Linked DNA regions of Drosophila melanogaster. The protein of the gene in region 1 interacts with the protein of each later gene in a pairwise test. Each region holds a gene or a part of one and is shown in the gene's direction. Other genes may lie near its edges.

Region 1 (4,366 bases):
TATTAACAATGCTAAGTATCAATGGCCATAGAGCAATCTACGCATTTGCGTATGTTCCATGGGTGGATGCCATGTGACGGCCTCGGGTCACGTTCCGGAGCGATTCCTTTCGGGATCGACGAGCCACTCGCCAAAGGGCAAAAATCGGGGGAACAGCCTGTGTGAGTCACATTGCACCTTGCGGTGGACTCTACGGCTTCTTTTTGCCACGGTGACGTTCGACGTGCGACATGAGTCTTGATTTGTTGCCACTTTTGGGATTTTATTAAATTTAGACAGGCCTCCGAGAAGCATAGGTGAACAACTGTGTGTAAGGACGGGCATTTGGGCGGGGTCATTCGATATAGCCATTGTTGTTTGGGGCTTTATAACTGAACAACAATTGGAGGCCGAGTTCAACAGACAGCGGGTGTGCTAGGTCATTTGGTTTTGGGGGAAGTAGGAAAGTTGTTTTCACAGACACCTCAACACAATGGGGGCTTATCATCTAGAGTTAAAACACCTTCGATGAGGAGCGTTCGAACTTTATTCAAATTTCACTTGCTTACAATTCACGCAAAGGTTTGTTGCTCCCCGCCCATCTAGTAGATGTACTCATAGGTCAGGGGCTTGTAGTCGCTGCGATATTGCTGCTGGAAGGAGTTCGGGGTCTCCACGCTGTGGTAAAGATGCGATTCGGCGGCTGCCGGGGCAATCAAACGGGAATAGGCCAAGGGCAGGACAGCCGAGGACCTGGCAAAGGTACTGGGGTAGTACCCATAGCTGGGGGTATAGTAATACACCTCGTGCCCCAAAGCCAGAGCAAGCAAACAGGCAAAGATCAGCTGTTAGATCAATTAAATTGGTTAAATATATATATGCAAAGTTATATAGAAGAGTTTTCCGATCTCACCAGCTTCATTTTCGCTCGTTGCAGTTCCTTGAAGATCACCTATCCAACTGAATAGCCATTCCACGCTACTCCAGGCTTTTATAGCTGCTCCCAATCGCATTCAGACCTTCACTTTGGCTGGTGGCCAAGGTCAAAGGCATTTGCCCAGCAAGCGGCAAATGAAAGAAGCCCTTAACTCACTTTGAATGGGCCAGTTGCAATTGCAATTGCCAGCGGAACTCGTTCCCTGCCACTCAGAATCCAGATGTGAATCGGATGGTCGTGAGTCCGCTGACAAGCCAGTGAAACCACAAATGCCTCTTGGGTTCTAGAACGGCAGAGAAGTCCTCCTTCCAACTTGCTACAAAGATTTGCCTTTCCCCGTAAAATGCATGATAATTAGGATAGAATGTGCTAGAAAACAAATACACACATTTTATAATTGACTTGTTGCATTCGGATCGATTTCTATGTTATATATTCGTAATTATTGATTTGTGTGCTATTCTAGCAATTAATTTTAGAAACCTTAACCTATAAACTCATCCTAATTTTATTTTTATTTATCCTCAATCAATTAGGGACATCCCCTTTTAGTGTGTAAGTACGTTCTATTTTCGCTGAGGCTCAAATGTAGGCATCTCTTTGACGTCTGTTTACTTCCATCGATTTGGATTGCGTCTTGCTCTTGGCCCCAAAATAAACAATTAAGTGCGTCCTGGATTGAGACGCACTTCCGGTGTTTTCCCGCCTTCCATCGGGAGGCTTTCAAGGTCAGTGGTGGGTTGCGGGTGGTGTCGAGAAATGGCCATGTTTCCTTTTGTCTTCGTAGCAATGAAAACAAACTCCCACGCCGAAATCAATTAAGTAAGTATATTGTTCGAACTGTGTTATTCGGCTAAATATTTGTTGATTTGTTATTTGCCTAAAAAATTGCGCAGTTTCCGCAAATTTATTTTTTTCGTTGATCTTTTGCGGTGCGTATTTCATGGCATCACCATTGCATTAGTGATGCAATTTTCGGTGGGTGGGCAACTGCAGCCAGTCACTCACCTAAGCTCAGGGAAACCTGAGCATTCCGCGTCCGCTAAGATTTCAAAGAGACTCTTGGGTTTTGAATATCTGACCAAGGTCGCGCGATTGCTGGGGCTTCTTGGCTTTGGCGGCTGGGTTATAAAAACCAGGCATCACATTCAACCAGCCATCAAACCATCTTTTGGCAGCTTCTCAACGAGTTCCACTTTGAGTTTTGCGTTCCAGAAGTTCTTCAGCAATCAAAACCGCTTCAAAATGTTCAAGCTGGTAAGGATATCCTGTCCTGTCCTGTCCTCCGAATGAAAAAAGTTAATTAAGTGAGCAACTCTTCCCGCCTCCAGTTCGTATTCCTCGCCTTCTGTCTGGCTTTGAGCTATGCCGCTCCTGGTTACCTGCACTCCTCGCCCATCCTGACCAGCTCGTACCACAGTCTGCCCTCGGTGCGCGTGATCCAGCCCATTTGGACCACCTCGCACAGCGTTGTGCATCCCATCAGCTACGGAGGATACGGTCATGGCCGTGGATATGGCTGGATCTAGGAGGAGCCATCTCACAAATAGGCGTCCTCAAGACTCGGCCGCCAGAGCACCTGTCGCCCGAAGCTCAACTCAAGTTCACACGGAGTTTAGCCATCTCTTTGACGGACATGCCTCAAATAAAGTTCTGAAATTGGTCTGAAATTTATGTGTCATAATAATTTTTTTTGAGAAGGAGGGGTAGACTCCATTCTATGGGGTATTTAAGCCAACGTTGTTGTCTTTCTTTGGCTTAGTTATCGTTCAGATTCACGATGGACATGATTGCTGTAAGTACACTTACAGACATTCTGGGCACTACAATTTTTTTATGAATTATGAAGTTGTTCTTTTGTTCTTTTGAAACCTTAAGTACTTTTTTTTTTAGAACAATGAATCATGCCCATGTACTCTTTTGAGCTTAAACAAACATATTTCTTAAAAATCGTTAAAAATATAGTTAGTGGGCAAATAGTTCAAATACTTGACTTAAAATGCTTAAAACATACTGAAAGTGGGATTATTTTACAGTTGATTTCGATTTGGTTCGTTTTGATGAACGTGGCTTGGTTTCAACCGATATATTTCCTCATGCCAACTCAAGTAGCCCGCAGCTTTAACTTGGCAGAGGATTCATTTTACCAGGAACCAGAACGGATTGAAGGGATTCAGTTCATCGAAGACCCCGCCAAGCTATTCAAGCCCAATGATTTTTTTCGAGAAGTAAACAAATTTATTATCGGAGTTCAAGAATTCGTGCAGAATCCATCGTCTTCCCTGTACAGTGCATTCAACCAACTGCAGAGCAATGCCAAAAAGAACCACCAGAAAAACCAGAAGCCCGTGGTGGTTCTTGACCCCTTTGGTAACATTACATTCACCCTGGGCTGGTCAGCCAACCTGGGAGTGTTCAATAGCATCAGTTTCAGCAAGAGTCGGAGTCTGGTTAACTACAATGGCTGGACTAAGGGTTAACAATCCGCTGGGCTAAATCAATGGCCAGATGATAACATACTTCTGGGCTGGGCCATGGCAATATAATTCGAATTAAAATTATTTTTATATAACACACAATAAATGCAAACTCTTTGTTCGAATTGGTTTGGATCTGTTTTTGATTTGCCGCAGATTACGTATACGCCACGATGTCTAATTTTAAACGCCGCACGTTGCATTGTCTAAGCTTAGTGTGTTTTACCCGGAATGAAATTGCTGCACGCCGCTCGACATGTGTGTACCCCAAGGATAATTATCTGTAATTATTAATAGTTTGCCCCTGGTCATGGCAAACCCAACACTTTTTGTCCACTTGGAAATTAGTTGTAAATGGTAATGCAGATAGTCGTTTCACTGCTTATGAGGCGATTCCAAGAAGCTGTTTGTGAACATTTAATTAGAGTAGAGTATCAGTTGGTTGAAAATGTATCGTGGAAATAGTTTACTGAGTTGCTTATACATTTACTGAGTTAATAATACAAATACTTGTATTTGATACCATATTGCTTATTATGCATTATTGGATATGACTTCTCTTCAAGTATAGTATAATATGCATAGTAAACTATATATAAATGGAATTTCGAAGTTCCTCTTCAGCTCCCAGTAAACCCCATTTTCCGAGTAAAAGACAAATATGTTCGTTTGTTTGCGAGTTTATTTCAGTTTCATTGCAAGTGTCCGTGTGCTATCCTCTTAAGTTGATCATCCTTCCGGGAATCTACTTCTTCAGGAGCAGAGGAGAGGTGTAGGCGGCATAGGGAGCAGTGTAGGCGGTGGTGTAGGGGGCGGCGTAGGCAGCGGTGTAGGCAGCGGTGTAGGGGGCAGCCACGTAGGGGGATGCCACGTAGGGAGATGCCACATATGGAGACGCCACGTAGGGGGCGGAGTAGGCCAGAGGAGCCACGATTCCGGGCTTGGCGGCCACGCAGGCAAACAGAGCGAAGAT
Region 2 (5,309 bases), 3.9 Mb from region 1:
AAGTCACACTCCACATTCTGCGGATAATCGCACTGGGCCGTGGAGGCCTTGAAGTAGAAGGTGCCCGGACAGGTTCCATTGATCACCTGGCCATCCCAGCACAACTGATAGCCATTGCAGTTGTCCGTGTCCTTGACGAAGACCCCATCCGGCAAGATGTTGCAATAGCTATCCGGGTCCATTTTATTCGAGCACGGAAAATCGCGGATGCAGTCCTGCGTTCCCGAATTGAAATTCATCCCAGTGTTGCACACTCCGTGCGTCCCCTTGCCATCCTTGCAATAGTAATAACCATTGCAGGAGTACGGATCAGCCGCGAATCCGGTGGGCAGAGCAGCGCACGGATCACTGGACAGACACTTGATACTACTGGAACTCAGGCATTTCTGGCTCTCCCGGTCGTAGAAGAGTCCAGTCGCACAGCTACCACTCACAGGGCTCCCATCGATGCACTGAATCCACGCGTTGCACGCCCGAGGATCGTTCATCTTGGTTCCGTTGACCACCAAGCTACATATTAGAGTTGCATTGAAGGTCAGGGCGCCTGATATCGTGGGGATCATGATGAGTCCGGAAATGAAGGCGAGCTTTGTGTCTGTTTTGCATAAAAGGGTATAAGTACGATATTCGAAATAAGTTGCAAGTGAAGTATGCTTTCAATTTCGATTTAAATTGCATATTTTTTTTTCAATAAATGTTTGAGTTTTCGTTATGAACTTCTTGAGCCTAAGTCTACGGTTTTCTATATTTATATCTGTCTATGAAATGGTAATTCTTCTCGAAACAACAATATAGTTACTTCGATGGATATCTGCTAGTGCCAGAGATACTCACCCATCTCGAGTTCAGCAAACTTTTAGTATTCCAAAGATACAAGTACCTCTTAACGGCTAACGAGGAAAAGAACGTCTAACTGGATGCCATCCAAGTTCGCCAATAAATACAAATCGAAAGACAATGCTTATGCCCTCGCTACTTTTGGGTTTTCCGAAAGGTCTGTAAATTTTGGAAGCTCTAAGTTAGTCTAGAACTGTCTTCAGTGGCTAAAATGGACGCATGACGTATTCATATTTCACTTTTATCAGATTCGGTTAAATCCAAATTTGACAAGTGATAAACTTGGCCAACGCCGGTGCGCAGTTCATTTAAAACCCAATTTGTTTTTATTTTTGTCAACTTGTGCGGTCATACCTTTGGTTTTTTGGTAGTATTCGTTGTCGAATTCGTATCCGCTTGTTTATAATTACTATCTTTAGATTGGGTCTAATTTAATTTATTACACATATAGTAATTAACTTTATTTCAAAATCAAATGTTATTATGTTTATCGCCTGCGATCTGCTGACTCAGGTGCACACGACATTATGCTATTAATAGTCCACGATGACCGATTCTTACTGACATACATACTTATTGAGATTACTGTTTAAAATTATACATTATTGTGAAATTATTTACGATTAAACTAACTTTATGAAATAATCTGCCGATCGTCGGTTTTAATTGTACCTGATAGTCGTAGAGTAAATGAGTGTACAGAGTGTTCGTTGAAAGGAAAGATACTATTGTATAAGAATATAGAAGATTGATGTGAAAATTACTTGGTGTATAGGTATGCTACAACAAGTAAACCACATATAAAAAATCTAGTGTCCTTGAACTCCCTTCAAATGAGTACTGAGTATCTTAAAGTCGAGGAACTACACTAGCTTACTTGTTTTTTTAAAGTCAATTGGGCTTTACCACATAAGTCCAACTTTTCTGTTCCGATAGTAACAAATATGTCTAGGAATCGCCACAATTAGTCAATATTATTAAAAACAAAGTGTGTGGGTTTTGCCATATAATATGTAGGTAATTTTAAGCTAATTTAGATTACTCTAATCTCATTTCGTTTAATTGATTTGTTTGAAAAAAAAAATAGAAAGGACCATATTTGGAGAACTTCTTGATATGGTACTACTTGAATTATATAATTCGGTAAAAAACTCATTCAAATTTAATCAAGTATATACATTTGGTTAAACAATTATAACAATTATAAAGTCGTTAGCTTTAAAATGCGAACTCTGTTATAAGTTTAGAGCACGATGTAATTCTTTATTGCTCTTTTATTTACACATTAACTTTTTAATATTCCAATTATAGAAACGCAGTCTAAAAAATACATTTGAGTTAATAAAAAGAACCCAAATTTCTATCCGTCTGAGTTCTGGGAAAGTTCTTATCCCCACAAAAACTTTGTTGACTTGTCAAAATGGCCATCGATCATGCAAAAATGGTTCGTTGGCTTCGCTTGCGATACATCACAAAATGGGTTCCTGAGCTGAAGGGTCGTCGATCAACTTGGACAGCCCAGCGGATCGAAGATAACTCCTGGCTGGACTGCAAATAAAAGCCCAGGAAGTCCATCAACCAGAAACAGTATTCAACTAGGAGCCACCAAAAGAAGAAGCAAATAATGGGTGGGTATCGCATATAAAAGTTCGAAACAGGAAAAATTGGAACATCATATGAATATATTCAACGCTTCCAGGTGGACAAAAAGCAACCATCCTCGCTGCCGTGGCGCTGGTGATCGCCTGTGCCGCTCCAGCAATAGCCGATGTGAATGTCACCGCCTTGTGCCTGCTGGTCAGCAATGGGAACTACGTGGCCAGCCAGTCGGACTGCTCGACCTACTACCAGTGCCAGGGATCCTCGTTCACGGCCATGTCCTGTCCCCAGGGCTACTACTTCGACAAGAATGCCCAGCAGTGCACGGGCACTGTGCCGAGCACCTGCACCAGCAACTCCGATCCCTGTCTGGGCAAGGCGGTGGGATCCTTCGCGGCATCCAGTTCGTCCTGCGGCGGCTACTACTACTGCGGAGCCTCCGGCGCTGTGAGGGGCAATTGTCCTGCCGGCGAGAACTTCAATCCCACCACAATGGCCTGTGTGTACAAGAACAACTATCCATGCAGCGAGTCCGCCGGTGATGGCTCCACTGTGTCGGTCGCCCTCAACCTATGCAATCTTGTCAAGAATGGCTTTTACTTTGGAAGCCCTTCCGACTGCAGTGGCTGGAACTTCTGCCAGGACAACGTTCTGCACTCGGGATCCTGCGAAGATGGTCTAGTATTCAATGTGCAGGCCAGCAACTGCGGCTACAAGATGGCCTCATCCTGCGCCCAGGTCACCAATGATCCATCCCTGACCGGAGTGTCTGCTCCGACCACATGCTCCTCGTCGGGAGCAACGATCGCAGCCACCGCGTGCAACCAGTACTACCTGTGCTCCGCCGGCAACTATCAGCTGATGACCTGCCCCTCGGGATACTACTATGATACCATCTCGAAGGCGTGTGTGACCAGGATGGAAGCGAGGAACGACTGCGACAGATGTGTGGGCACCACTGCGACCTTTGTAAACGCCTACTCGGCAACCAATTGCTCTGATTACCTATACTGCGTGAACGGCGTTCAGAAGGCCGTGGAGAGCTGCCCCACCAACTACTACTTCAACGAGAACCTCGGATCCTGCGTAAACGGGTTGGAGCCCAAGTTCCTCTGCTGCAATCCCACGCAAAGCGATGGAACTTCGACGTCTTCCTCTGGTTCGACTTCCTCGGGCTCGACTTCCTCCGGATCGACTTCCTCTGGGTCAACTTCCTCCGGCTCGACTTCCTCTGGCTCGACTTCCTCGGGCTCGACTTCCTCTGGCTCGACTTCCTCGGGCTCGACTTCCTCCGGCTCGACTTCCTCTGGAACTTCATCCACAACCTCTACTGGAACAAGTTCAGACAAAAAATAATTTAAATAGCATTTATGCCAAAAATAATAAATACAAATCAAGTTTGGCAACTCAATTAAAAGTATCCACCCAAGTTATTCGCACAGTAATAGGGTATATGAAGTAAAGTGTTCTAAAAAGGATATATATTCTTAATTCGGATAGGAAATCGGCAAATAAAAGAGCTAAAATGCCCAAAAAACTGTCACCAAATGCGACAAGAATAAAGGAAAATTTCCATCGACGTACAGAAGATCCAAGGAAATACCATCAACACTTTATTGACCCCATATGGCAGGGCAATAAAGCCGAAATTAAAGATTGCCTGAGCGAAAAGTTTTTCATCGCCAAACAAGTTTTACTGGGCAGCGTCAACGCCATACAAAAGCGATAAGAGTCCATTCAATTTAAGGTGTAGCTGTTAAAGTTACATAATATACATACATTATACATATAACAAATTTAAACCATTTGCTAGAAAAAGTTCTTATTTAAATGAATAGCATTAATTAGGGTAAAATATTATATTATTTTTAAGAAAGGGTCGTTTTCTATTGCACAACATTATCCCGATTAAAAGACCTTGATTTGATTAATCTTACAACACTATCGAATGAAAACCCCACTTTTCAGTTATTGTACAACACTAGGCTTAACTACACGATGTTTTACTTTCCAAGGTAGACCTACACCATTGATAAGGATGTGGCTGCGTCAGTTGTTTGTTTTTTTTTTTTTTTTTTATTATTAAGTTGCGGAACAGATAGAAATAATGACAGATAAAGAGCTACTTAGTGGTTAATACAACTATACTTTAATTAAAATCGGTTAAATAACACCCCGAAAAGATGTTCAGCGTCTATCTGGTGGAATAAATAAAAAATGGAACAATGTTTCACTGTCTATAATTCCTGAGAATAGCTGGGCTTATCTACATTCAATTTACGATCTCGATGGCCAAGTTCGAATCGTAGACCTATAAAAACCAGGCAATGGGAAAACTCCACCATCAGTCTTCGACAACCTTTCATTGGCCGATACAAGTGGTATTCGATCCCCAACAGCGGCAAAAAGTATTACCAACTAACGATGACAGGCAAGTGTTTCGCATGGGATATGATCTGTGGTCTATGGTCGAATAAACACCAGGAGTTTCGCTAATTGATTTGCGTGATTTCTGGCTTGCAGGCAAACTTCTACTGGCCACGATCCTGTGCCTAATGGGCGGCCAAGCCTTGGGCGATGCGATTCTGGAAGGAAACTACAACGTTACGGCCGTCTGCACGGCGGTTAAGGTCGGAACGCAGCTGGGCAGCATCGAATCCTGCCAGACGTACTACGTCTGCCAGTCCACCGGACCCGTGCAGTCCTCGTGCCAATCAGGCTACTCGTACGACTACAAGAGATCCTCCTGCTATCCAAGCAGCGAGGTGGACTGCTATTGGGGCGTTGAGAATCCCTGTGCTGGCAAGAATAACACCTGGGTGCCAAACACTGCCGTTTGTGGTGGATGGTTCTACTGCCTTGAGGGCAAGTCG

What was found. Proteins that work in one complex are often made in the same cells at the same time.
Region 2: the proteins of CG13070 (region 1) and CG7290 interact in a two-hybrid assay, tested with the Drosophila melanogaster proteins (one large-scale study listed by BioGRID).

What each region holds. Positions count from the first base shown.
Region 1 is NT_037436.4:16,260,676-16,265,041, forward strand, and holds CG13070 (uncharacterized protein), read left to right. Parts: upstream 1-2,667; 5' UTR 2,668-2,696; coding exon 2,697-2,711; intron 2,712-2,952; coding exon 2,953-3,396; 3' UTR 3,397-3,476; downstream 3,477-4,366. Other genes in the region: CG34247 (uncharacterized protein), read right to left, coding at 582-824, 893-901; CG13071 (uncharacterized protein), read left to right, coding at 2,162-2,173, 2,248-2,445; CG13051 (uncharacterized protein), read right to left, coding at 4,139-4,366.
Region 2 is NT_037436.4:20,203,154-20,208,462, reverse strand, and holds CG7290 (uncharacterized protein), read left to right. Parts: upstream 1-2,416; 5' UTR 2,417-2,461; coding exon 2,462-2,465; intron 2,466-2,536; coding exon 2,537-3,792; 3' UTR 3,793-4,154; downstream 4,155-5,309. Other genes in the region: CG6996 (uncharacterized protein), read right to left, coding at 1-595, 835-838; CG7298 (uncharacterized protein), read left to right, coding at 4,861-4,867, 4,960-5,309.